Saccharomyces cerevisiae S288C: one gene and its partners. The gene in region 4 interacts genetically with the main gene of each other region. Each region holds a gene or a part of one and is shown on either strand. Other genes may lie near its edges. The genes, in order: CYT2, NUS1, RRT2 and PDS5.

Region 1 (5,221 bases), on a different chromosome or scaffold from region 4:
ATGACCAGAATGGCAGCATTGGGAGCGGATTCGGCGGTTGCTGCTGCCAAATCGCGAACGATGCTTGCGTTGATGGCGAACAAGTCATCACGTGTCATACCAGGCTTTCTGGGCACACCAGCAGGAATTAAAACCATGTCTGTGTCCTTTAAAGCGTTGTTCAATCCGTCTGGCTCTTCTGGAGTAAACCCCTTGACCACGGAGTTTGTTGGAATATGAGACAAATCGGTGGCAACACCTTTTGCGCCCTTTAGGTCGTACAGTCTTAAGTCCGTGACTTTATGGTTAAGCTTTAGAAGCAAAGACAATGGTTGTCCAATACCACCGCCTGCACCCAAAACAGTCACTTTATAAGGGTTGGCAACTGTAGAGGAAAACGCACGTTTAGCTACTCTTGACAACATTGTATATGGTATCCTTCCTTTTCCTTTTGTTTTTTTTCTTCCTTTCCGTAGATGTCCACGTATAATATATTGTATATCTATATGTGTATTCGTTATCTTAAGTGGAGGAATACAGTACAAACACCCAATGCGTGCTAACACTTCTTTTTAAAGCGCAAGCTATATATATTGTAATATCCGCCATTGTATTATGGCAACTTTTTTTTGTATTTTTCTGGGAATCCGCTTGGCGCGTGATTGAGCCAATGAACGCTGAGTGAATGCCGAGAAGGGGGGGAGAAGCTGGCAGGAAGGCCCAACCGCCAGGTCCCTTGTACCTCTCCGGCGCCGAGGGTCGCACAAACTGCTAGTGCCTACTCTAGTTGTTGAATAAGAAATTGATTAATTAAATTGAGGGATTTTGTATTAGTGAATTATAATTTATCTATGTTTCTTATGTAGTGTTATTAGCGTAATCATTATTCGATGTCGAGACTGCTGCCCAGGTACATGCGGATTTGGCGGGGAGTGGCCGGTAGCACCCTGCAGCGCACGGGGAAGGCGGCGTTCTGCGTTTCGCGAGCCCGGCGGTCGTATGCCTGTAGACGGTGGCAGCCGCCGAAGGCATAATATAGCGTCTGTCCCTTGACTCGCACGCCCAGCACGTCCACGGGCGGCAGTTCCCCGGCTGAGGCAGCCGCCTCAGCCTGTTCTAGAGAGCATGTCTTGCTAGCGGTGGGAATGCCCTTCATTGTGGCCACCATTGCGTCGATCTTTTGAGGATCCAACACAGGCGCTAGGGGGCGTCTGATCTCTGAGAGAGGAATTTCTGTTGGTTTTACACTGTTGCTTTGTAGTGACATATTGTTCTTTTTTTACTTGGTTTTGTAGTTTTTTTTTTCAGTAAGAAAAGTATATATAGCTCATTGATGGTAGATATTGTGGTTTATATACAACACCTCTTGACATGTATTGCATCGCATCCTTACCCAACAGGGCTACTGTAATGACTAAAAATAATGGCGACTTCTGGGCCGGCCTTCTAAAAAAAAGGGACCCGCAACGGGTAACGGCATATTTTTTTCGAAATCAAAGTTCCAGCTTTTCGATGTTTGTAAGCCTTCTAAGACAGAAAGATGTAGTATAAATGATGTAGCTTACTAATCAGGGAAAAAGCAATCGCTAGTATTGCAGAGGCCAAAGGCTTAAGCATCACATTTCGGTAGTAGTAAATAGTTTGTTAGTTCACGTGCTTTTCATTCGTCTCTATTTTACATATTATGATGTCTTCAGACCAACAGGGGAAATGCCCCGTAGATGAGGAAACCAAAAAGTTATGGCTACGAGAACATGGCAACGAAGCGCATCCTGGTGCTACTGCCCCAGGCAATCAACTAGAGTGCTCTGCAAACCCACAAGATAACGATAAAACGCCTGAATATCACACCACGGTGGATCTCTCTCAGTCCAGAGAGGTTTCCACCATACCAAGGACGAATTCTGACAGAAACTGGATATACCCGTCGGAGAAACAATTTTACGAGGCAATGATGAAAAAAAATTGGGATCCGAACTCAGATGACATGAAGGTGGTTGTGCCTTTACATAACTCCATCAATGAGCGGGTTTGGAACTACATTAAAAGCTGGGAAGACAAGCAGGGTGGTGAAGCGTGTGGCGGTATCAAATTAACAAATTTTAAAGGTGATTCCAAAAAACTGACACCAAGGGCCTGGTTCAGGTCCCGTATCTTGCACCTGGCCAAACCTTTTGATAGACATGATTGGCAGATAGATAGATGCGGTAAAACCGTCGACTACGTAATCGATTTCTATTCCACCGATCTGAACGATGCAAACTCGCAGCAACAACCACTTATTTATCTCGATGTTAGACCAAAATTAAACAGTTTTGAGGGCTTTAGATTACGGTTCTGGAAATCTTTAGGCTTTTGAATTACTACAACTATTCCTGTAAATAAAAACATACCCTCCCTAGTTTCCACATACATATTTATTTAATCTTATTTAGGCACTCAATTTAGAAACTAGGGAATGAAAAAGCAGTAATCTTCTTTTAAGGAATAAACAAAAAAAAAAAAAATAAAACATAAAACATAACACAAAATACTCTTTTCTAATGCATTTAAACTTCGGTTTTCACGTCTTCCTCATCCTCTTCGTCTTCCTCGTCATTGCTCTCATCGGATGCTGTTTCATTTAGAGCTTCTTCCTCCTCCTCGTCCTCCTCATCCTCTTCGTCATCCTCATCATCGTCGTCCTCATTGTCAGCACCCTCTTGTTCTTCTTGTTCTTGCTCTTTATCACCAGTTTCCTCGTCCCTAGCTTTCCGTATTTCATTGATTCTCCTCCTAACGATCTCTACAATATCTGTCCATTCTCTCATACCACCCATACCAATATCTCCGCATATTAATACCTTTTCCACCGGTTTCAAAACTTGGATGAACGGATAGTCTTGCACTAAACTCGTCAGGTGTTTCTTTGTCATAGGATTGATATACATGAATGTATTCATTGCAGGCGCAATCAACACTGGGGTCAGTGGTGACCAATCTCTCATCACAGAAGTTAGCAAATTGTTACATATACCATTGGCCAGTTTAGCAAGTGTGTTAGCTGACAAAGGCGCAATCAGGAAAATATCAGCCCATTTTCTTAATTCATGGTGCAATATCAAGTTCAGACTCAAGCTAGTATCATTCTTATTCACAGCGTCGAATACCCAAGCGTCTTCCTCCCTCCAAATTTTAACGTGTGTTGACATTTTGAGCCCTTTCAAAAAATGCTCAGCGGGTTTTGTGACAATCAACTGAATAGAGATTTTCTCAGGCCCATATATCTTGAAAAGTTTATCAATAATTAGAGGTACTTTTATTGTGGCAACTGAGCCCGTCGCACCAATGAGAATGTGGAATTTCTTGTCGTCTTCCTTCTGAAAGAACTCTGTGAAGGGTACACGAGGCCCTGTGGGTGCAGTGATAACTTCCTTGTTTTTATGTGTGGAGTTATTAGCCGATAATGGCGCCGCCTTTGCAGTGATAGGTTTAGAAGCGTTTGACTTGGGATTGAAGTAGATAAAATCACCTGGCATATGAACGATAGAATTTTTTTCCATCGAAGGTGAATCTACTTCATCTTCGCTATTGCTCGTACCACTCGATACCGAATGTTTCCTGATATCAGTACCATCATTAGTAGTGTTCTCCTTAAATATTGCATTCGCTATCCTCTCCTTTTCGTCTATCAGTTGCTGTCTTTCAGTTTGCTTTTTTTGCACTTGCTCCTGAATTTGCTTCACCTCTTCTTGCTGTTTTGCTCGTTGATTTTGCTCCTGCAGTTGTGCCTTTTGCTGCTCTTCTTGTTGTTGATTTTGCTGCAGTTGTTCCTGCTGCTGCTGCTGCTTTCCAGGTTTATTGGATATCGAATATCTATGATACGGCAACCTTTCCACCTCGGGCACCGTAAATGAAACAGCAGAAGGTAATGAAGGTGAAAACCTTTTTTGCTGGCCATTTGTATTAGCTGGCATACTGGTGTTGATCTGTATTTCATGGCCATCTTTGTTCCTTTCACTATTTTGCTTCAGATTGGCAAAAGAGAAATCCCTCAAATTTGTGCTATAATCGTTTTTGTAAATATTCCTCCTATTAGAGTTGGATTTTGATTGATCTTCATGACTATCAGATCTTTCGAAATTTGATTCATCGTGAATACTTTTTCTTCTCTCCTTGTTGGTCAAAATTGAAACCGGCACTTGTGTTGTAGGCAAGGATGAAATTAAGTTAACTCCCTGCTTACCGTTCATATTCTGATCTGAGTTCACTTTTTCATCCGTCATCACACCTAATAACTCTTTGCTGGTCCTTTAGACTTTTATTTAAATATGCTAACTAAGTGTTACTTTACTGTTCTTTCTCTTTTTCTGCTTTTTGTTCTCTCATCTACGAAAGTTCGGTGCGAAATTTTACGTGATTCATTTTCTTACAGAAAAGTTCACATGTTTAACAGTATAAGCGTATGGACCTAGTTATATTTCTTCAGTACATAGCATGCATAATGAGAATATTCACATCATAATTACCCAAAAGTGTCAAACGTACTGTCTAATTCTTTGTCGTTGTCATCGTTAGCGTCTTCTGAAACGGTCACTTGAACGAAGAACATTTTGGCTTCATCATTCCCTCTATTGGCAATCGCGTACTCGTTGAATGCCGGTATTTGGAAAGTGGAACCTTTAACGCTCAAGAACTTGTTCTTACATACAGTTACTTCGACTATTCCCTGTATCACGTGGAACGTAATATATGTCCTAAATGAGTTGCTTAATTTCTTTTGTCCAGAAATAGCTGGTAGTTTTAATATGCCGCTAGCAAAATATTCTTTATGCTTATCGAACATTATCTCAAGGGCAAAATTCTCGTCCTTCGTGTCTTTTACTTGTTCAGTTTGCGACAAATTGGGCGCGAATGCAATAATTTCATCCTTAGTTTCCTCCTTAGTGTCGCTAATTTTCACATTAGCTTCCAGTATTCCATGTTTCAGCCACTCGCCATTTTCTATGCCTCCAGATTCTATCCTTTCTATAATATCCTCGTTGGGATCTTCTGGAATCAAATTTTCCTTTGCATTTGGATCCTTCTTTGGCCTTCCTCTTGGTCTCCCCGTAGGTACGTAGTTGTAAGGTCTGGTTGGTGTAGGTTTTTTTTTTTGTTTCTTCCTTCTTTGTGCTGCCAATATCTCCTCTTCGTCTTCAGATTCATCATATGTGACAATTTTGTCTATGTCAAGAACGGGTTTATTGGACTTCCTCTTATA
Region 2 (6,993 bases), on a different chromosome or scaffold from region 4:
TTGAGTTCTTTCTTATACCTTCAATGCCAGAGGTTCCAAAAAGTTTCAAAACAAAATGAACTTTCTATCTAGTAAGACTTATAAAAACCACCTCGATAAACAAGTGGATCGAGAACGTGTCAAAGATTCCGTTTCTCTCTCTGTTTTTCCATTTTTCGATTTTCATTTTTTTTTTTGGTTTGACAAATACAAGCCACCTCGTTATATGTGATTTGCAACGCGAAAAGAAATAAAAAGGGAAGGGTAATAACATGGTTTTTCTACAATAAACTGCTATCATTACGGTATTAGTGGCTTCTTGAGAGCTTATTGCGTGACTTTTTTTACTAAACTATTGAAAAATGCAACTAAGTAGCTAGCTTAAAACTATTGCTATCATTATCATTATTACTACTGTTATATATGTGGGCAATGACTTTCTTAAGTATCAGACGAGAATTCAACTGTGCAAAATTAAAAGGTTGAGCGAGATACTTATCTTTTCGTTTAGCTCTTAAGTATCATTTACCAACATTCACTTTACATCCTGCGTACTGTCTTAGGCCGCGGATGAAAACCGAATATATGACTTCGTTGTTATCTTTTTCCCAATAAAATTCGGTTAATCTAATATGCCAAGGTGGGAACCCTTGTAAATCCAACGAAGGCCCGAAGTATAACAGTAAATCTGGTTCGGGTCCAACTAGTTGTTTCAGTTCTGAATCAACTAAATCCATTGTGATGTCAGAAACGCTCAATTCGTTAACCGCACATAACTCAGCCATAGTTTTGGTCAGATCGACAATCGTTTCTCTACCATCTCTGTTAGACAATAAAGAAATTTCAATAGCAATTTTGTCCTTTTCTTGGTTAGCTTCTATCTCATTGCCTACATCAGTCTCGGTTTCAATTCCGTCTAGATTGTAGAATATCTTGTTAGAATGAGGTATTTTAACAGCGTAGTTTGGAACATGAGCTGGCCCAAAATATTTAGCCAGGTTGGAATGAATTTCCATTCTCAGCTCTGGAACATTTCTTTGTAATATTCCATCGTAATCGTACAACATCAAATGTTTTATACCAGCTGAAACAGTCCAGCAAACAATTTCACTCGCGTCATTTAATAAACCTGTCACACCGCCGCCAACGTCGCCAACTGGCTTGACTTCCAAGATAGCGGCCAACCTTTTAGGAATTTTTTTCAGAGGAATAACGTCCTGTCTAATCAACTGTGGTGTATATGCATGGTTGTAGATGATACTGAATATTCTTAGTTTCATTTTATTATATTGGTATTGACCGTACCGAAACAACCCGAAGCAGATGTATAACAACACAAGTAAAAACTTGTAAAAAAGGTATTCAAATTTACCTATTCTTTTACTCAAATCTTCTGTCTTTTGCTTTTGGACTCCATTCGTCTCATTGTTCACTTTCTTCTGAGGGTTCTCATCGGCGTCTGCAATGATACTTGTAACGGCCTTTAAAGCTCTGGTTTTTGAATTAACTTTACCGCCCTTTAAAACACCAGATTCTGGAGGTGGGATGTGATTGGAAGATTCTGGAACATCATCTCTTTCGATCTTTCTATGCGGTTTTTCATTAGGGGGCTCCATTGCTTTATCATCCTTTTTGATCATCGTGGGCATCTAAGAAAAACAATGGGGAAAATATATGTATATATATTGTATCAAAAAATTGTGTAATTTGCCAACTAATGTTATGCGAATACTAACTTGCGTAAAAATTCTCTTCCAGCGCCTTCGAGAGTTGTTGATAATTCAAGCCAGTGTTATACGTGGCTCCTGCAGGACTTTTCTATTGGGAAACCTTTTCGTTTATAATGACTTCCGACGTTGACCGAAGATGGTATCCGTCGGCGGCTAAGTATCCAAAAGTGTTATAGAAGAAAAGATCATAATTTTGGAAAGGCATTAAATCAAGTAATGTAATTGAATGTGTGTCAAGATAAACATTGTGTATCTATAAAAGTTGAGTAGTATCTCAAGTTACAATTATTTCTTTCACATGATTAAAATTATAATGCACGTCCGCTTAATTAATACATCGAATAACATTAAATTAATTATTTCAAATCATTATTTTCATTTACAGGTTGATTAGTGGCGTTTTCTTCGCTTGAGTGGAGGATTTCATTATTATGTTCATTAGTGTCAGCCATCACGGAGAGAGAAGTGCTCAAAATATTAGATTGAGTTTCAGGTTCCAGACCGCCTCTCTTGTCAATATAGCTCTGCGCAAACTGCGCCATTCGTTCCTTCATACCAGCCAAGTCTTGAGCTGTGTTCAAATTATCAGACGTCTCACCACCATTTGCCTCTTCATCACTGGAATTCATTAAAATTGAAGGTGGACCTCTGTTATAAGCATTCAAGGCAAGCCCGTTTCCCAGGTCCATCAAATTGCTGTCCTCTTCAGTTGTATCCGAATGTGAGGAAGCCGTGTGGTAACGAAGGGTACTTTGGTTACCGGAGAACTTATCTGTCGTGTTACTTGCAGTAGAAGTACTGTGAATGAGACGTGCCATATAATCATTAATATCATTCATAGTACTTCTATTACTTTGGTCGCCTTGAGATGAGGGCCCGCCTATTTCATCTTCTGTGTAATCTTCGCTTGAGTCGCTTGAGAGTGAGGGAGGCCCTCTATTATACGTATTAAGACCAAGCCCATTTCCTAGGTCCACATATTTGGTTCGAATTTCAGCAGGCTCTGTTGTTTGCGGGATTGGAACGTCTTGCAGAGAAGGTGACACAGGGACTGTCATACCACTACTTTTGTTCGGGCTTTCAAGAATTTCTGTACTAGTAGGAATATCAACACGTTCTGGGATAGAATGAACTTCTTTTTGATTGGGACTATGATCTATTTCGCCCGATATCGTATTTCGAAAATCATTTCTTGGTGTTTCATCGTCAAAATTATTTCTTTTAGCAACAAAAGTGTTCTTTCCGTCTTCTAATCTTTGCAAAGGATCGTATTGGAATTTAAGTGCGCGTTCCCTAATATCTTTATTAAATTTTGGTGACACGACACCAGTGGATGACTTAATATATAATTCATCAATCTCTTCTAATGTCAAACCCTTCGTTTCATAAACGGTCAAGTAAACAACTATCACCCCCATCGCATTTAAGGAGCCCCAAATGAAGAATATTTTTGCACCTAATGATGATGTATGCGACCCAGTATCTACAATATAAGGGGTAATTAAAGCACAAATAAAGTTTACAAGCCAGTTAGCAGCAGCGCATATAGCCGTACATTTAGATCTCACACCCAATGGGTACAGTTCTGCTGAAATAACCCAAACAACACCACCCCATGTAGCAGAAAAGGCAGCTATGAATAGACATATAAATGCTATCATAACTTTTGCGGCCGCTACAGTCTTTAAGGAACACCCAACAATGGCCACAATAAAGTTGGCTATAGTCATGATAACACCCCCAACAACCAGCACCTTACGTCTACCAAAAAATTCCACAAAAAACAAACCAGGAACATTAAAGACAACATTAACAGCATAGGTTATAAATGAAACCAGATAACTATTACTGACTCCTGTCTTATTGAAGAAATTGACACCGTAGTAAAATATAAAGTTGATACCTGAAAATTGTTGAAATGCTTGAAGGGCAATTCCCGTAAACATCCTTAGAGTTTGCTTTGGTCTACTTTTACTTGAAATAAAACAATCAATGAAGTTCGAAGAACCAAAAGATGCCTCGTAATCATATGTTGCCTTTATTTCAACTAGTTCTTCCAGTAACCCAGAATCATGGACTGGTACACCTCTTAAAAACGATAAAGATTTAGCTGCTTCATCTAGCTTGTCTTTCAAAACGTAATAGCGTGGACTCTCAGGGAGAAAGAACATCCCGATAGCGAGAAATGACGACCAGACATATTGCAACCCTATGGGAATCCGATACGAAGATGCGTCGTTTCTTGCGTGTGTCCCTTGCGACACTGCACTTGACACGAGCAAGCCCCAGGTAATGGCCCATTGGTAAGTAGAAATAATAGCACCTCTTAATGATTTATGTGTAGCTTCTGCTTGGTATAATGGAACAACCGCTGAAATTGCGCCTATACCGATACCTGAAATGACCCTTCCCACAATCAATAATGTGATTCCTCCAGCACCTACCTGTAAAGAATTTCCGATAGAGAAGATGAAAATTGTACTGAAAATGATAGTAGGCTTCCTGCCATACGAATCAGATATAAATGGTGCAGTTAAAGCCCCAAAAAAAGTTCCCAATGACAAAAATGACACCAAAATGGACATTTGTTGGGCGGTAAATGAATCGTGATTAGGTGCTACGTGTGACTTCACATAGTTCATAGATGTAATACTGTTGATCAGACCTGTATCATAACCAAATAAAAATCCGCCAACTGCAACAAAAACACCTACGCATATAGACATCATCATAGATTGTTTCTGAGGAGGCTCTGAAAATAAAATTGAGTTGTCGTCTATGGTAGAAATGTCATCCGTAAACACGGATGTCATATTAGATTGCCTGTCAGAATTTTGCCGCTGCAAGCTCGTAGGGGTTCGTATGCTACCTGTCGTATCATCTGTTGTATGATCTTTGTTACTATTGTTTCGTCGCAGTGCTATGCCCTTCACCCTCTGAAGAGCTTTGTCTAGGAAACCCTGTTTCTCTTGGCGTAATGTTTCGCTAGAACTGTTACTATTAGGATCCATTTATAAATTCTTCTTTCTATGCCAACAAAGGCATATCCTTCTGTTTAAAAAGGTCCTCAGTAAAACTTTTCTGTTTTAATTTCTATAGTGAGGTCAACTTATAGTGACTCTCTCTGTTTTTCTTCAATAAAATGCTTCTTATCTGTCCTATGATCTCTCGATGTGTAAGTACTATCAATGCAATTTGCCGAGGATAGGACTATTGTCTAGTTTTTCTCAGTATGACTGAATTTCCCCAGATTATAGAATAATTGACAGTTCCTCCTCCTTTTGTTCTTTAGAATGTGCGATGCGGCAAGTTTAAAATTTCCCCGGAGATTTGCCGCTCGAGGTGTACATGGTAAAAACATAAGGGAAAGGCTGTAAAAAAGATATAAGAGGTATTGGTTGGTTTTGAGAAGTAATGTTAAGCTAGTTCTAATTGTGATCTTGATTAGGTTTAAACATAAAAGGATAAGTACATAAATATATAAATATAATACTATAAGACATAATAAGAAAAAAACAAGGCCAATACGCCACTTTTTGTACTGAAAGTTTTGAGACTGAATTAATTCAAAGTCGCTTCAGCTATGCCAATCAACCTCTTCACTCCTGTCAGCCAGTTACCACCCTCTTGAGCATGGTTTGTAGCGATATTAGCATGGATGACCATAGCTTCTTTGTATTTCTTTTCCTTCATTAATGCGACGAGGTCATGTAAACAATCGATTGTTGGTTGGGTTAATAAATCCTGCTTTTCCAAATGGTAGAAAAGAATCTTTAATCGTTTATCACAATCCTTTAATTGTTTGGAGTACTCCTTTGGGGTCAATGGTGTTACGCGAGCCAGTTCTTCTTTCAAGAAGTCGACAATGGGTTGTTGATCAGCTGGAATTTCATGACTGACATTCTCAGCGGAGGTATTAACCTGAGAAGCCAAAGTTGGCGGTTGAGAAGGCTGCAATGGAGAGGCCGAGCTGGAAAGGGTTGGAGGATAAGTAGCACCTTGAGATGGGTTTTGTTCTATACTAGCTAACTTGTTGCTTCTCTTCTTCATGCTAATCGGAGGGGGGCCAGTGGGAGGTTTGTTAAAAACGGGAGGAGGAGAGGTCATGGTATGGTTATTAGTATACGGACCGGTTGGAGGATAGGAGGAACCGTTGGGTTGAGTGGTTGCAGTTGGAGCATATGGATTAGAGGCCTTTGGCAACGGAGCTGGAGGCACGCCTCCAGATAATGGGGTTGCTACTCTTTGTTGTGGTGGTGGAGCATAGGGGTTCGATGAAGCTACCTGAGCGGTGTTTGACGTTTGGTTTGCTGTAGAAATAGTACCTATTGGGAATTGTTGTGATGATTGAGGAGGAGCGTATGGATTTGATATGGATGCCCTTGGTGACTCAGAAGTTGCAACCAAGGATGGGACTCTAGAATTTTTGTGTAGAGGAGGTGGTGATACCATTGACACAGAAGAGGGAGCTCTGGAAAGAGGTGGCGGAGGCATGGTACTAGCAGCATTTGCAGGGATACCATTTAATGGAGTTGGTGTCGATAGGATATTTGGAGGGGCAACAGATACAGCCTTGGCACGAGATGGTTTTTCTTTGACCTTCAAAGGCAAATCATTCCAACCATCATTGGCTTTACGGTTGAGATGTGGCGTTTGACCCGATACAGCATTAATTGGAGGTTGTGAAGGAATAGAGCTAGATTGAGCATTATAGTCGCCCATAATAGGCATACCAGGTTGTATAGGAGCAAAAGTGTTTTGCGGAATCGACGTTGTAGATACGTTCGTTGCAGGAACTGTTGCAGTGGCATATGGGTTAGGCGGAGGAGCAAAAGAATTCAATCTGGTCGAGCTATTTGTTTTGTTAACAAAAGGTGACGCCATCGAAGGTTGGCTTGGTGGCGCATATTTACCTTCTGTATGAACAGGAGCACTAGTGGTGGTTGCTGGAACGTACGGCTTTGGAGGTAGAGCATTTGCAGAGGCGCCTGGTGTCATACCATAAAATGGTGCCTGCATACTAGGAATAGAAGTAGTAGAAGGCATTCCAGGAGTTGGTAGTACAGGAACGTTCTTATTTGTCTTGGCGTTTGTATACTTGGCTTTGCTGGTCGTCGCTGTCGCAGGATTTTGTGCCGGTAATGATTTGCCGGAAGCAATCAAGACACGTGCCTTTTCTGTTTTAACCTCTTCATTGTCACTTGGTAAACTATTTAAGAATTCAGTGGCTAGTTCGAAATTTCCTGTGGAAGTAGTTAAGTTGATAAATTCCAAAAATTTGGCA
Region 3 (7,357 bases), on a different chromosome or scaffold from region 4:
AAGGGTATCAAATGGAATTTTGAAAAGTTCTTAGTTGATTCCAATGGTAAGGTTGTCCAAAGATTTTCCTCCTTAACAAAACCATCGTCCTTGGACCAAGAAATCCAAAGCCTGTTAAGTAAATGATATCTTTGTCTATAATCAAGCAATTATCCGGAACAATAAATAATACATTTATAGATTAGTATGATTATATATTTTTCTTCAGAAGCATGGTGTAGGATATATTAAAAAAAATCGAAATATAAAAAAAGAAGGTTTAATGAGTGGTTTCGTTTTCCGGAATTTTCTCTGCTACCAACTGTTCAGTTCCAACATTCGACGTATCCTCAATCTTCGCTTTTTTGCTCTCTACTCCATCAACGTTCTCCTTCTCATTAGCGGTCTGATCTGCAAATTCTTCCCTTATCCTTTTACCATTTTCATCTTCTTTCTTCATTCTATCTTTAGTGGCGTCATCCAATACAATCCCTGCGTTAAATTCCTTTTCCAAGCATTGCAGTAATGTATTTCCTCTTCTGGCTAGCTCTACAGGTGTCCTGCTTCTGAAGTAAAAGTCTAATTCGAATAGGGGACAATCTCTAATTTCATCACGCACTAATTCGTATACGTCATCTCTATCCAAGCCATACTTGAATAACATGAGAAGGATAAAACGATCTTCTTCTTCAGAGTACGTCCTTTTGTTGTTAGAAGAAGGAGGATGTTTTAATTTCAAATCGAAGAATGGATTCTTATACTCAGACAACTTCCGACGTAAAGCCTCTTGTTGCATTTTGACACGCTTGATCTTCTCTTCTTCATTCTCAATTATTTTCAGATATTTCTCATAATCTTCAATTCTTTCAATGTTAGACCAGAAGGCCTTAGCATATGCGCGAACTTCCTCTAGTGTTTTGCCAGGGGCCAATTCTCTCGCAATGGCTTGAATGGAGTTCCTACCGTATTTACCAGATACCGTGATGAATTTTCTAAATTCTAATTTATTCCAATTTGTAAATCCTTCAGACTCCCAATCAGCCTTCATCTTTTCTTCCTCTTCAGTTAATGGTTGCGAGTTGTTAACCGACAATTTTAACAATTCCAATTTTTGTTTCTTTTCTTCTTCATCTGAAATATCGCCATATGCTGCTTTTACGTCATCCATGGTCGGTACATAACCAGTCTTCTTCGCCGTCCACATTCTTTCCTTTTCGTACAGGACTTTCAATTGGGGAGGTTGTAATTGATGGGAATGGAAGACATGAGGCTTAGGCATTCTGGGGTGTGATGGGGTCGAGGACCTTCCTGTATTCAAAACATCTTTATAATAATTATCAATAGAGTAATTTTCCTTACGTTCACGTTTGGTGGGGTTGAGCAGTAGCGGACTTATAATATCCCTTTGTATTTTCTTCTTGAAATCTTGACCATTCCATTCATAGGCCGAATCTTGGTTGAATTTTTGCAAATCATCAAGACCTAAAGTTTCATATTTTGCATTTAATGACTTAGTTTTGTTTTCTGATTTCAGTAAAAGTTCGTCCAGATCAATATCATCTCCTTTTTCTCCTGAACCAGGTTCCGGCGTACCAGCTGAACCGGTAGATGTACCACTTTTGAATACATCGGCGGCACCATGTTGAATCATGGATAATAAAGCATCTTTGGAATCTGCTTTATTTTCCTTCTTTTTCAAAGAAGTCCTGTTTTGCTGGATAACTAATTGATCTAATCTTAACTTCTGGGTAGCCCTTTCTAAAATTTTCTCTTCCACGGAGTTATCTGTGACCAAACGGAATACCTTGACCTGCTTCTTCTGACCAATACGATGCGCTCTATCCATTGCTTGTAAATCTGCTTGTGGGTTCCAATCTGAATCATACAAGACAACGACATCTGCTGACGTTAAATTGATACCTAACCCACCTGCACGTGTCGTTAATAAGAAAACAAACTTCTTAGAATCAGGAGCATTATAATCATCAATGGCTTGAATTCTATCTTCGTGAGCGGTGGAACCGTCGATCCTGCAATATTCATAGTTTCTGAAGTAGCAATAATCCTCGAGAATATCCAATAATCTTGACATTTGACTGAAAATCAGAACTCTAGAACCTTCTTCCTTCAATTTCTTCAATAACTTATCCAAAACTTGAAGTTTGGCAGCGTTATAAACCAAGTGCTCATCCGTAGTGTACGGTGGACCTGGCTCAGCACCATCGAATAAATATGGATGATTACAACATTTTCTAAGTTGCATCATGATATTTAAAAGTCTTGTTTTGGATTCCTTGCTGCCATTAGACCCGTTCACAGCGTCCAGATCCTTTTCCAAAATCTTTTTGTACCATTTCTTCTGCATGCTAGACATACCGACATATAAATTCAGTTCCTTTTTAGGCAGTAAGGATGTTTCCACATCGCTTTTGATACGACGTAGTAGAAAAGGCTGTAAAACAGTGTGGAGTTGCTTGACAATTTTATCCTGATCTTCCTCTGTGCTTTCAGAAGAAAACCAATCGTCGAAATCTTGTGCATCGGAAAAGATATCTGGTAACAAAAAATTTAATAACGCCCATAGTTCATGCAAATTGTTTTGCAAAGGAGTACCAGTAATCAACAGCCTATTACGTGAGGTAAATTCCCTTAAGACTTGCGAAAGCATTGACTCTTCATTCTTGATTCTGTGAGCCTCATCAATGATAATATACTCCCAGTTAATCTTCTTAAGGGGCGACTTTTCTCTTATAATAATTTCATAAGAAGCAATCACAACATCAAAGTCACAACCTAAAAGTTTTTTTTGGATCAGTTCAGCTCTTTCTTCTTTATCTCCTTGCAAAATAAAGGCGTTTACGTCTGGCGTCCATCTATTTATTTCTCTCAGCCAATTATTTAAGGTAGACTTAGGCGCAATGACTAAAAATGGACCTGGAATTTTTTCAATGTACCTAAGATATCCCAGAAATGAAATAGTTTGCAGGGTCTTACCTAAACCCATTTCATCAGCAAGGATACCCGCTATTTTGTTCTTATGCAGAGACACCAACCAGTTGACACCTTGGATTTGATAAGGTCTCAATTGACCATTAACGTAAGCAGGTGATTCTCTGAATTGGAATTCAATGCTCTCATCATCATCCGAGTCTTCTTCTTTCAATAATTCCGCATCTTCTTCGTGTTCAGTCTTTCGTCTACGAACATCTTGGTGTTTGCCTTTGCCTTTGCCATTTGCTTTATTTTCTTCTAATACATCTAAGACCTGCCTGAATTTGGGATCTTTAGCGGCTTTACTTTCAATAAAATGCTTGAATAAACCACTCAAGGATAGCAGATGTTCAAATCTTTTTGTAGTGCCTTCCAGATCAAACTTTTTACCATTAGCATCCTTCAGCAGGTAACGTTTTTTATTCGATTCAGGATCATGTGGAGGGAGACCGACCTGGAACGGTTTTAAATTCTCCAAGTACTCTTCTGAAGCAGTCATAATTGAACCAGATGAAATACAATCGTATTTTTTTTTTTCTTGCAAAAATATGGCGAGAATAATTTTGAATAGGTTCTCATCTTTGTCCTTTTCATTGCAAGAATTGTTTTCGTGTTTTTTTCTCATTCTAGTATAGAACTTGAAAAAGTGAAAATTTGCAATAGCTAACATATAGGCCATAATAGGGTATTTCTACATCCACCTCTAGCTGGTTTTTGCATAGCTATACATATGGACTCTATTCAAGAATCAGATGTACTAAATGCAGTGAAAACAAAACTACCGCCGTGTTGTTTGAGAATATTCAGGAATAAGATCATCCTTGTTGGGACGTATGATTTAGATAAGTCAACTGGATACAGGTCAGGCTCACTGGATGTCTTCACAATGGACCTCAAACTTTTATGTTCGAATAATACGTATGGCGCAATCCTAGATTTGAAGTTATCCCCCTTTGATGATACATTGATATGCACGGCCCATTCGACAGGTAATATCATGCTATGGAGGATACGGTGCACAGATAAGGATGATTTCCAATCAAACGAACTAGATATTCATGCAATTGCAAATCTACAACTCTTTGAAAAAGATGTTCTCATTGCCTCGTGCCATTTTTCCCCACTTGATTGTAAGAAATTACTTGTAACAAATACGGCAGGCGAAGCAGCTACCATTGATATAAGAACACTATCTGTACAGTTCACGGCATCAGCAATCGCGCAGGCTTACTCAAAACTAGATAAAATAGATTACGAAGTTCAAGGTGCAACCGAAAAAGTCATTCATGTTGAATCGGGACAATTTTTGAAACCCCATGAACTCGAGTGTTGGACTGCGGAATTTGGATCTCTACAGCCTTTTCAAGACGTTGTATTTACAGGAGGTGATGATTCGAGAATTATGGCCCACGACTTACGTTCCAAAGAATTCATTTGGAGTAATAATCGTATTCATGATGCTGGTGTTGTTAGCATTAAGTGTAGTCAACCTAACTTTCGAAATAATAAACCCACGTCCATAATAACTGGATCCTATGATGATAACATTCGTTCTCTGGATTTAAGGATGATGGGTGAGTCCATATTTCCTGGTGCAAATGTCCCCACAGTTAATAAATTGGCGTGTGATCTTGGTGGCGGTGTTTGGAGATTTGTTGAATCCCCCATTGATCAGGAACAATCTCACCACAACGGCTCCGATCGGCTTTTAGTTTGTTGCATGTACAATGGTGCCAAGGTGGTGACCATGAATGATAATTCCGATGAGTATTTTCAAATTCAACATTATCTGAAGAAGGGCCATGATTCGATGTGTTACGGTGGCGACTGGTCAAATTCTTTGATCGCAACATGCTCATTTTATGATAATTCCTTGCAAACATGGATAGTTTAGAAAAAAAAATTCAGTCTGCAATATATGGACTAATATATAGGCTAATATATAGGCTAATATATAGGCTAATATATAGGCCATATTTTGATGATTTCGATAGATTATGCATAAAGAATTGATAGGAAGGAACTTGCCTGAACAATAATCTTTTACTCTATATTTTCTACTTATTATACATGATTCAGAAGCTTTGTTGAAAGGGGGAAAGACCGAGCGATATAAAATTGATGAAAAATTGATATTACAGCATCAATTGACATCAATCATTAAATCATCATTAGCTTCCTGTGGATCAACAAACTCCCTGCTGGCTCCTGCCAATAGTTCTCTTCTAATCTCAGGACCGATATCTTTATGGCCTCTTTGACGAACAGTTTCCAACAAGAAATCTCTCTGATCCTGGGTAATATCGTTCTTGTAACGTTGTGCAAATGTTAAGAAAGCCTTGTGCCATATCACTGGGAGTACTCTTGTAGCATCTTCCCCATTACTACCGTCATCCAAAATTCTAAACCTCATAAAGTAATACACGCAGTCGTCCACCGTCTGGTACGGTAAAGCATATTTTTTATCGAGCAATATTTTGATAAAAACAGTTGTAGGTGGAGAGAAAGGTAGCCTTAAAAGATAACTCAAGGCAGCTGAAGAATGTAAAGCCGGAACAGAGACTTTAGCAAGCACACTTCCTGCAATTGTCGCTTCACGTACATTACACCCTGTTTCAACCAATGGGAATAGGAAACCTTTGAAGAAGGCACTTGGTTTATAAAGCGATTTTTTCACCGCACGGTATATATGATAGTTTAAAGAGTGGTCTTCACTGGTCTCGATATTGTCACGGAAACGTTCAAGTAAAATTAGGTTAATAAATTTTTGAGATTCTTTAGCAGTTAGGTTGGATACAAATAATTTCGTTGCTTCGTAAACAACGTGTGGTGACCATTCTTCCGGGTTGGTCACATAAATGACATCTTGCCAATTTCTTAAGGATGGGATAACCTTGAACAACTTTGGCAACTTACCGTGCGTCCAAGTTTTTAAAATACTACCTACCGTAGTATATGCTTTGATGACCTTCTCTGGAAGTGCAACACCCTCTCCACTCTTCAAACCGGATGAAATATTGCCTCTTGAGGTATTCTGTTCATTAGCAAGTGGTTCATCATCTTGCATATCTTCAACTTGACTTTCCTTTTCTCGGATAGAGGCCATAATCTTGTCTGCAAGATTATAGCTACCACTTAAAGAGTTAAAATCATCTGATTTCTTGAAATATTGCTCAAACATCGCTGCGTCTTCTTCATCGATTTCAACTATCTCTTCCTCTTCTTTATAATCACCTTCGGGTTCAAAATCGGAGATGTCTTCTCCAAAAGCTTCTTCGTCTTCGTCTTCGTCTTCGTCTTCATCATCATAGCTCATGGTGGTGAATCTGGCTTCAAATTGCTTGTTTCTTTCTGATTCAGCAAGTTCCTCACCTTCAATTTCATCCTGTTGTTCCTTGGCCAACTGCAAAATTTTTCTTGATGCTTTGGAGTCTATGTATCCATCTTCCTCATTTGCAGCATCGTGATTTGCAGCATCGTTCTGCGCTAGCTTCTTTTTATTGATTTTTTTCAAGGTACCTTGAGCTGCATCTAAATCCTTTAAAAGTGGATCATGCCTCTGTTTTCTGGCTTTAGTAGAGGATGCTCTGGCCATTATAGTTAATCTTTCTAATATATTGTTTTATCTGTAAGTCTTAAAACGAGACAAATCTTGGATTTAAAACAACTTAGTGCATATTTCCTTTCGTCAATGTTGAAGAAGTGGGAGCTCATCGATTTTTAAAAATTTTCATTTCCGATGCCTCGCTAAAAAAAAAAAATGAAAAAGTGGAAAAATATGTTCTATTTCTTCCCCTACTGACACCACCAATAATACAACCATATAAGTTGGTACAATTTCTCCAAGCTGTACATCCTCTTGTGTTGTGAAATGTCTGATTTAACATCTATCATTATTGCGTATATAGACTGAGTCAAGATTATAAAGTATACATATCCAACCACATTACTCTTCATCCATTCTAACCTTTAATCCGTGCTCTAGTAAATACTCCTTTACATCGTTAACAGTGAATTCACCTCTGTGGAACATACCTGCACCCAAGCAAGCATCTGCGCGGGTCTTTAGGAAGGCCTCTTCGAAATGTTCGGGTACACCGGCGCCACTGGATGCAATGACGGGAATCTTGACCGCATCTTTAACATGTTCTATCAATTCCAGATCATAACCAGAATTAGAGCCATCCTTGTCTATGCAGTTCAATAAAATCTCCCCAGCACCTAGAGCTTCACATGCCCTTGTTAATTCCCACACACCAAGGTCTCTAGATTCTCTTCCACCTTTGATTGTACATTGGTACCAGCAGTATTTCTCTCCATTGGGGCCCGGATATTCTGTCTCGAAGACTTTGTTCTTCGTATCTGCTTGTGAATTTACATATACTCT
Region 4 (9,151 bases):
CTCTATGAGTGTAATCTAAGCACCTGCTAATATGTTATATTCTGCTTATTCGTCCTTTTGCTACACATAATTAATGTAACTTTAACTCTAGTTCTATAAAGGATATGATTTGTACTAAATGTAACATTATACGAAAAAACATATTATTCGTTTATATAAACTAATCAAAGAAGTCGTCATCATCTTCGTCGTCATCATTTTTAGCATTCTGCTTGTCAAATGAATTCAGATCTTCGCTGAAATCTTTCCGTTCGAAGATAATCTTACTGTTATTTTGTGAATTTTGTTGCTTGGCGATACCATTCAAGATTGAAACAATTTCAGCTTCAGTGATTTTATGAGTGACGTTGTTTGTAGCAATCAGTTTCTTTAAGTATGTCTCTACTGCTTGGGCCCTGTCTCTACGGACCAAGGCCACTCGAGATAATCTTTCTAAAGCTTGTGGCTCCAAGAAATTTGCAATAGCTGCACCAACGGGAGCGGAATTTTCACCTCCACCATTATTAGCACCGCTATTTCTATCGCCGTTGGTACCCCCACTGTTGTTTTTCAACTGAGCCAATCTGGCTTCCCTAATAGCTTGTAACTCTGGGTCCATATCTGAGCACACACTTCCTCCTGAATTGTAATCCAGAGAGCAAGAAGATTTTTCAACTTTTACTCTTGGTTCTCCTTGTAGAACCACAAGTGGTATAAAAATTCTCGCTTACCCAGCCCAAAAATTCTCATCTGTTTCTCATCTGTTTCTCGTCCGAATAAGTTTCCCGTTCGCAGCTAGGATTTCACCTGCTCACCATAATAGGCAACTTTCTTCCTCATGTAGGAAATTATACTATTGCTCTCTGTTGCAAGGTTATTTTTGAGCCTTAATACCATATTAGTAGATATAAATACATATATATCGTGTTAACCCATAAGTGGTAGTTTTAGTAGCTCGCTGCAAGATCTGCCTCATTCCTTTGTAGAGAACGACGTACCCACTACGCGTTTGAACATTTGCAACAAGCACGAGAGGAAGGAAGAAGAATACCAAGTATAAACGAGAATAATCACCATAGAAAAACCTATAAAAGACACTTCCATTACCATCTGCTAATAATAATACAATGGACACCAGCAAGAAAGATACTACTAGGTCGCCCTCACATTCCAACAGTTCTTCTCCTTCATCTTCTTCTCTCTCTTCATCTTCTTCCAAAGAGAAAAAACGTCCTAAGAGACTATCCTCCCAGAATGTAAATTACGATTTGAAAAGGAGAAAGATCATCACTTCTGAAGGTATAGAAAGATCATTCAAGAACGAGCATAGCAATCTTGCAGTTGAAGACAATATCCCGGAAGAAGAACCCAAGGAACTTCTTGAAAAGGACTCCAAGGGTAATATCATCAAACTTAATGAGCCATCCACCATCTCGGAAGATTCGAAGGTATCTGTCACTGGATTGCCGTTAAATAAAGGTCCTTCTGAGAAAATCAAGCGAGAGTCTCTTTGGAATTATAGAAAAAATTTGGGAGGCCAATCGAACAACTCAGAAATGACGCTGGTCCCCAGTAAAAGATTTACTCAGGTGCCGAAAAATTTTCAGGATTTGAACAGAAATGATTTGAAAACGTTTTTAACTGAGAACATGACTGAAGAGAGCAATATACGGTCAACTATTGGTTGGAATGGCGATATAATAAACAGAACTCGTGACCGTGAACCTGAAAGCGACCGCGATAATAAAAAGCTATCAAATATTAGAACCAAAATAATACTTTCAACGAATGCTACCTATGATTCAAAAAGTAAACTATTTGGCCAAAATTCCATCAAGTCAACATCGAATGCGAGTGAAAAAATTTTCAGGGACAAGAACAATTCAACCATAGATTTTGAGAATGAAGATTTTTGTTCGGCTTGTAATCAGTCAGGTTCTTTTTTATGCTGTGATACATGCCCCAAATCCTTTCACTTTCTTTGCTTAGACCCACCAATTGATCCGAACAACCTGCCTAAAGGTGATTGGCATTGTAATGAATGTAAGTTTAAAATCTTCATAAATAACTCAATGGCAACTTTAAAAAAAATTGAATCCAACTTCATTAAGCAAAATAACAACGTCAAGATTTTTGCTAAATTACTTTTCAATATCGATTCCCACAACCCAAAACAGTTCCAGCTACCAAATTATATAAAAGAAACCTTTCCTGCTGTGAAAACGGGTTCGAGAGGACAATACTCTGATGAGAATGATAAGATTCCATTAACTGATAGACAATTGTTTAACACTTCTTATGGCCAAAGCATAACTAAATTGGACTCTTACAACCCGGATACACATATAGATTCAAATTCAGGTAAGTTTTTAATTTGTTACAAATGCAATCAAACCAGACTAGGTTCATGGTCTCATCCAGAAAATTCAAGATTAATAATGACTTGTGATTATTGTCAGACTCCATGGCATTTGGATTGTGTACCGAGGGCTTCTTTCAAGAACTTAGGTTCAAAATGGAAATGTCCTCTACATTCCCCAACTAAAGTTTACAAAAAGATACACCATTGTCAAGAAGATAATAGCGTAAATTATAAGGTGTGGAAAAAACAACGATTGATAAACAAGAAAAACCAACTTTATTATGAACCTTTACAAAAAATAGGCTACCAAAATAACGGGAACATTCAAATCATACCAACAACTAGTCATACAGATTATGATTTCAATCAAGATTTCAAAATTACACAAATAGATGAAAATTCCATTAAATATGATTTTTTTGATAAAATTTACAAATCAAAAATGGTTCAAAAAAGAAAACTCTTTCAATTTCAAGAAAGTTTAATAGATAAGTTAGTATCAAATGGATCCCAAAATGGCAATAGCGAGGATAATATGGTCAAAGACATAGCCTCTTTAATATATTTCCAAGTTAGCAACAACGACAAGAGTAGTAACAATAAATCGGCTTCCAAAAGCAATAACTTAAGAAAATTATGGGATTTGAAAGAACTGACTAACGTAGTCGTGCCGAACGAACTAGATTCTATACAATTCAATGACTTTTCCAGCGATGAAATAAAGCATCTGTTATATTTAAAGAAGATTATCGAATCCAAACCAAAGGAAGAACTGTTAAAATTTTTAAACATAGAAAATCCCGAAAACCAATCCGAATAGAAACGGCGTACATACATAAAGAATAAATCAGGAACGTGAACACCTTCCTTACATATATACACACATACATAGGCATATGTATCGCATCTTAAAGTGAGAGATCTACCTATTTTCCTTTTTTTTCCATTTACAACATAGCAATTGATGTTTTTTTCCCTTCTAAGTCATCTCGATGTCATCATCTTCATCGTCTTTGTAGTCAACTTCTTTCCTGACCCTCAATTTCTTCATCACAATATTTTCGTGCCCTTTCTTGGTTTCATTTTTGTTAGACGGTGAATAACTGTCATCATCACTGTCTGATTCTCGATCCCCATCACCTTCTTCGTCGTCAGCCTGTGATCTCGCATGATGAACTTTCTTCTTTTTTTTTTGTGATTCATTGTTTTCGTGAGCTAATAACCTCTTTTGAAGCCTTTGTCTTTGAGTTTGTGACGTGTGAAGAATCCGTCCGATTTTAGCTTTTATATTGTTTTGTATTTTTTCAGTCAAGCTCTCTGGTATGTATGTTTTGAAAGATAACTGGGCCTCCTGAACCGTTGCAAAAGGTTTGAACAAATCTGATGGTAAGTTTAATTTACCTGGATATGCTGAATGTTGCCAATTTTTCTTCTCTTTTAAATTCAATAGAATCATTTGCGACAGCTCACCTATGATATACATTTTCTGACCGTAAGGTCTATGCTTCTTTGGCGCTTCTTCTTTTTGTGGTCCTTCTTCTTCATCAATTTCATCCTCAACTAACTTATCTTGATAGTTTTTTACCCTTTCTGATAAATAATAGAGCAAACTGAAGTTCTCTTGGGCGGCAATAGAGTCAAAGTAAAACAGCAAATAATCAATCGCTGTTGTTAAAGCATTTAGATATGCGTCTCCTTCGGAATCTAAACCTCCCACAATATCAGGGTGATGTGCAATCGCATGTATCAACCTAGGCAAAGCTCTTTCAAATATCGTCCCTTTTTTAAATGATTTTAAGCCAAATGTAAAGTTTATCCATATCTTCGTTGTGGTTTTCAGTTCGACATCTGGTTCATAAGCAGTAAAAAATACTAGTGGTAGGAACTTTATGGAAATCAGTTCATTAGCAACATAATCTTTCAGTTGTTCCAAAAATGTTTTTCTTACTGGCAGCGATTCATCTTCAACCAAATTAATTAATTTAATAATGTCCGAAGGTTTGATAAAGTTGTTCAAATTAGAAATCCTGGCCAGTTTTAAAACTTGAATTCCTGCCACACACCTCAATTTTGTTTGATAATTACTGGGGGTGGGATAAAACTCCTTGTTAAACTCGGAAATCAGCTCACCACCACTTGCAATCAAGTAAAAGAATAACTTCATAGTTTTTTCGGTGAAACTTTCTGCCAATTCATCTCGTGGAACATCCGGAGCAATTGATCTCAATTTGTTGGTGAACAGCTTTAAAGTAAACACCTTATTACCTATTGCAGAATATTTCGTGTCACTTAATAGAGAATCTTCTACCCAGTCAATTTCTTTTTTTGAATCACCAACGACCTGGTTTGATAATAGAACTTCTTTAATTAGGTATGATATGATATCAGTGGAATCATCATTTAGGACGTGAGGGAATTTTTTAAATATTTCCATGAGTACAATAATATGAGATGTAAAATACTTGTCTTTTTGCAAATCTAAAGGTAGGATACGTATTTTTATCTTTTTCAGAGTTTCTTCAGCTTTGGGCGATAAAGCGATAAGTTTTGTGGCGTATTTCGTTATTTCTGGTTTACTTTCAACTGCAAAATCGTATAATTTGGTGAAGAAAAACGTGTCGTCAAAATCCACTTGATCCTTTAATGTTTTGGAAGCCTTGTAAAGGGTTTTTAAAGCTTCTTCCAATGACAAGTTATCATTTTTTTCTGCATCTGGATCATCCAAATCCTTGATAATGGTTTTTAATGTTCTAATCTGATCTTTAAATAATGTGGGATTGACTTTCGATATATCATCCAAGATTCTTCTTTTCAAATCCAATTGTTTTGCGTCAGAATTATTAGATAGGTTCAATAAAACACTGATGTTGGATACATTATAAATTATTGGTGAGGCTCTAAAAAGCAAAATTTGTATTACCTTGGCGATATCACGTGGCATAATGGAAGCACCAGTAGATATATTATATTTTTTAAATAGTCCTGGCGTTTGTAACTTACTGACCAATTCATTGTAACAATTTTTAAAAGTAAGAAACGGAATATCGTTGGTGACACAGGCATTTAATAAATAAAAGATTCTTTCGTCGTTAAATTGTTTTATTGTTTCGAGGGCGTCGATTGCTTTCGTAGAGTCAGAAAGGCCAGAAGCTAACCACTGGAGAGTTTGGTTGTACTTGTTCATTACAATAGGACCTTGAGACGAGCTCATACTTTCTTGATTGTTCAAAAATTTACTAAAATCAATATATTTGGATATAGCGAAGGATATTTTGATTTGTCTTGCATTGAAAGCGAAAAATGAAGTGAATGCCTTCTTATCAAAATGTGACAAAACCGTTAGCAGTCTGTGGACTCTTTTATCGTTATCTGGTTCAAACGGTAGTAGGTATTCGAAAATTACGCTGTCGACTTGTTCATTGATGTTTAAATCATTGATATAATAGAGATTGTATAAAGTGGATGGTATGGTGTCTATGATTTCCCAAATTTCTTTATTTTGGTATGTCCTTTCGATCTCATTCAATGAATTTGAGTAAAACTTGGCCATAGTGTTAATGCAGAGTTCCCTAACCTCCTTATGTTTTTCTCGGGCCAAATGAAGTAAAGATGTATAAATGGCTTTATTGGTTATATTTTTCCAAATTTCAGTAACGGGAACTTTATTAAAAATCATAACAGAAGTCCTGCGTACACGAGGATCAGAATCAATAAAGGTTTTTGCCAGTGCCTGATTCAGTTCTTTGGATATGTCTTCTCTCGTGGCAATGATTTGAGGAATTGATTCTGTCCATTCTACTCTAACATCGGGACTAATATCAGCAATTTTGGAAATCCATGCCTTGAACGTATCGGAATGTGTAGAAACAAAATTTAAATCCGAATATGAGGTAAGTATTTGACCAATTAATTTTGTAGCTTCTTTTCTGAAAAGCTCGTTTTCCGAAGATAATTCGTGGTATATAAATCCGATTACTGCATTGATCAGTTCGGGTACTGTTTCCCAAAGTCTCAATACCAGTTTATGTAATTTCACTACCACAGTGAGAAGTCTTGAATTATTGTCATCATTAGTTGCTTCATGAATAATCTCGGAATAGTATTTAGTTAGATGTCTACTCATTCTATTGGAATAAGTATCACACAAAATTAGACTAACTTCGTAGCCACAGTCAGAAGTAACGTTCAAACCTTCAGGAATTTCATTCGGGTTATAGGTCAAAAACTTATTAAAAATTAATCTTAGTACTTCTAGGGGAACAGAATCGAACTCAGAGATGACTTCACCGAGAATACCGCCTATTACATTGAAGAGCCTTGCGGGGAAGCTCTTGTTAGGATCGTAAAAAATATGGAATAGTTCGATAAGTAAATTGTTTGAACTAGGTAAATCGGCTAATAATACGATTGATCTGTATTCTAGTAGCTTAGTGATCAAATAAGTTTGTTGGATGTGATAGCCGTTTTCTTGGTCACCTAATTGTTCAAATTGTGAGAGCACCAGCTTGAAAATGTCCGTTAGTTGAGCATCCGTATAAGGCGCATCTGGAGCATATAATCTCAGGATATCGCTTAGACAACAAGCGGTGAAAGCGCGGATCCCCACGTCTTTATGTTTTAATAATTTTCTGCTAACTAGTGCGTCCCTATATTTATCTAATCCCGTTAAATCTGTATTGTCTTGATCCAGAGAGGCTAATTCCTCATGTAAAGCTTTTAAACGATCTAATAGTTCATTTGTTGATATCAGCTGATCGGAGGTAGATATTATAGGTGAGTTAAACTTCAGTTTAGTAACAGCACCTTTAGCCATTTTGTTCGCACTTTATTTCTTGCTTCTTTACAAATATACCTGTAAAAATTGAGACCGGATACAAACTAACAAGGTGGATAAACTTCTTTTAGGTCTTTTTACAATTAACAACAATTTCGATGGAGCCTAGGTTTATAAACTTTCACTTGTTTATACAACTTTACGCGTCGCGTCGCGACATGTCTATAGATTAAGTCACTTTTAACGCCATCATTCCGGGTAGTGCATATTTTCCCTTGGCGGCTAAATAGATGAAAAGGTAAAAGTTTAATCTGAGAAAAAAACTGCATTGAGGAGTCTGAAAACTGAGGATAAAACAAACAGTCGCAGTTGAGTTGTTCTTTTTCATGGAAATTCTTACTATGTACTGCATTTAGGAGGGGAGTTCATCACACTATTATAAATTAAAATATACATCCTGCTTCTTACTAAATTATGTTTTTAACTATTCTTACTGCCGCAATTCCAAGAGGGTAGAGGGTAACTTCAGAGTCTTTACCTAAAAGGTGGGACGCCAGACGGGCGTTAAAAAACTTTCCGTAACGGCTGAGATAAAAATGATTTCGCCCAGGATCGAACTGGGGACGTTCTGCGTGTTAAGCAGATGCCATAACCGACTAGACCACGAAACCTGTTATTTGTGATGGTCTGGACCTATACTTATGGTTTTATGGACTAAACATTTTATGTAATCTTTTATAGAAGAACATTTCTTTTTTCAGGTCAACCGTACAGGAAACTTTCCTCTAATAATAGGATCTTTTTTAATGTAGCTCTCAATATATGGCCTAAATATCATGTCCTATTCTTTTTTTGAAATATCTCCGACATTTAACAAAATAGTATTATTTCATGGCATGACCATTGAAAATTGTGCAAGAACTTTAATTTAGGAAAGTTCATTGATTCAGGATAAATATATAAAGAAAAAGCCACTATCCCCAGAAATTTTGCTGTTGATGAAGGCTACGATGCTGTGAATTCAGATTATAGGAGAAATTCACCTCGAGGACTTGAAATCCACATTAAGGAATCGATATTTTTACACGATAATATTATAACTTTTTCCTCTATTTTGTTTTTCTTTTAATATATTGTCATTCATCATTTTATTTCAAGCAAAATTTAAAGGTTAACATAAATTAATAGTTGCCATAATTGGGACAGAAACTTCCATTACATCTCTAGACTTTTCTCAATCTTTATATCATCTTTTTATGTCGTATATGATAATCTTCTAGTAGTATGGAACAAGTCAAGAGATGATAGCTGATGCTTCATTTTAACAATAAAAATTCTAACGACTATTTATCACGTCTTGGCTTAGCTATAAAAGTACTATATAAACTTAGTATTTATTTTTGAAAATACTAAACAAATTCTATCAACGAAAAACCTGGAAGGAACCTATTTACATTCCCTTTATTTTTAATTTTGAAGCTACATACAGACATTCAGGATAGTAATGCTAAAGGTTCCTTAGTGTCTGATCTCTCCTCCGTCGCGAATTCCTCTCTTTCTTTTTGCTCGGTTTGTTCTCCTTGAGGCAATGATGGCAAACCTTCTGTTGATGGCATGTTAGCTACTTTTGCGTTATTCATCTTCTCTGGATTGAGTTCACTTTCTAGAGCATCCAATTCCTTATCTAGATCGTCTTCATAATTGCTTGTTCCGACTAAGCTTCTAGATAATGTCTCGTTAATTTCATTTTGATACGCAATTTGATCTTGTACATCGTCCATCAGTTCATCAACATTGCTAAATTCCTTGTTTAGTTTTTTCAAGATTTCATTTCCATTTTTCAGTCCATTAATAAATTGCTTTTCTACCATTTTGAACTCAAGTGTTGACACCATATTTTCCAAATTAATAAGCTGATCCGAAGCCTGCTGCAACAAATGCTCCTGATAATGAATTCTTTTTAGTAGAAATCGTACCTTCATGTTAGATTTATAATTTTCAGGATTTTTTCGTATTAGGTCTTTTAGTTGACTCTT

What was found.
Region 1: mutations in PDS5 (region 4) and CYT2 together harm fitness more than expected from each alone (negative genetic interaction), as found in Saccharomyces cerevisiae (one large-scale study listed by BioGRID).
Region 2: mutations in PDS5 (region 4) and NUS1 together harm fitness more than expected from each alone (negative genetic interaction), as found in Saccharomyces cerevisiae (one large-scale study listed by BioGRID).
Region 3: mutations in PDS5 (region 4) and RRT2 together harm fitness more than expected from each alone (negative genetic interaction), as found in Saccharomyces cerevisiae (one large-scale study listed by BioGRID).

What each region holds. Positions count from the first base shown.
Region 1 is NC_001143.9:274,306-279,526, reverse strand, and holds CYT2 (cytochrome c1 heme lyase CYT2), read left to right. Parts: upstream 1-1,663; coding exon 1,664-2,338; downstream 2,339-5,221. Other genes in the region: malate dehydrogenase MDH1, read right to left, coding at 1-404; SRX1 (sulfiredoxin), read right to left, coding at 863-1,246; phosphopantothenoylcysteine decarboxylase complex subunit CAB3, read right to left, coding at 2,529-4,244; MIF2 (Mif2p), read right to left, coding at 4,484-5,221.
Region 2 is NC_001136.10:109,307-116,299, reverse strand, and holds NUS1 (ditrans,polycis-polyprenyl diphosphate synthase), read right to left. Parts: upstream 1,629-6,993; coding exon 501-1,628; downstream 1-500. Other genes in the region: SNF3 (glucose sensor), read right to left, coding at 2,066-4,720; SEC31 (Sec31p), read right to left, coding at 5,271-6,993. UniProt on the Saccharomyces cerevisiae protein: With SRT1 or RER2, forms the dehydrodolichyl diphosphate synthase (DDS) complex, an essential component of the dolichol monophosphate (Dol-P) biosynthetic machinery.
Region 3 is NC_001134.8:707,891-715,247, forward strand, and holds RRT2 (diphthamide synthase), read left to right. Parts: upstream 1-3,700; coding exon 3,701-4,864; downstream 4,865-7,357. Other genes in the region: glutathione peroxidase GPX2, read left to right, coding at 1-126; chromatin-remodeling ATPase ISW1, read right to left, coding at 260-3,649; snoRNA-binding rRNA-processing protein ENP1, read right to left, coding at 5,114-6,565; HIS7 (imidazoleglycerol-phosphate synthase), read right to left, coding at 6,917-7,357. UniProt on the Saccharomyces cerevisiae protein: Catalyzes the demethylation of diphthine methyl ester to form diphthine, an intermediate in diphthamide biosynthesis, a post-translational modification of histidine which occurs in translation elongation factor 2 (EFT1 and EFT2).
Region 4 is NC_001145.3:412,876-422,026, forward strand, and holds PDS5 (sister chromatid cohesion factor PDS5), read right to left. Parts: upstream 7,155-9,151; coding exon 3,321-7,154; downstream 1-3,320. Other genes in the region: SDD2 (Sdd2p), read right to left, coding at 161-598; RCO1 (Rco1p), read left to right, coding at 1,107-3,161; YMR075C-A (uncharacterized protein), read right to left, coding at 2,813-3,178; ESCRT-III subunit protein VPS20, read right to left, coding at 8,609-9,151. UniProt on the Saccharomyces cerevisiae protein: Essential for the establishment and maintenance of sister chromatid cohesion at centromere proximal and distal regions during S phase. Also required for chromosomal condensation.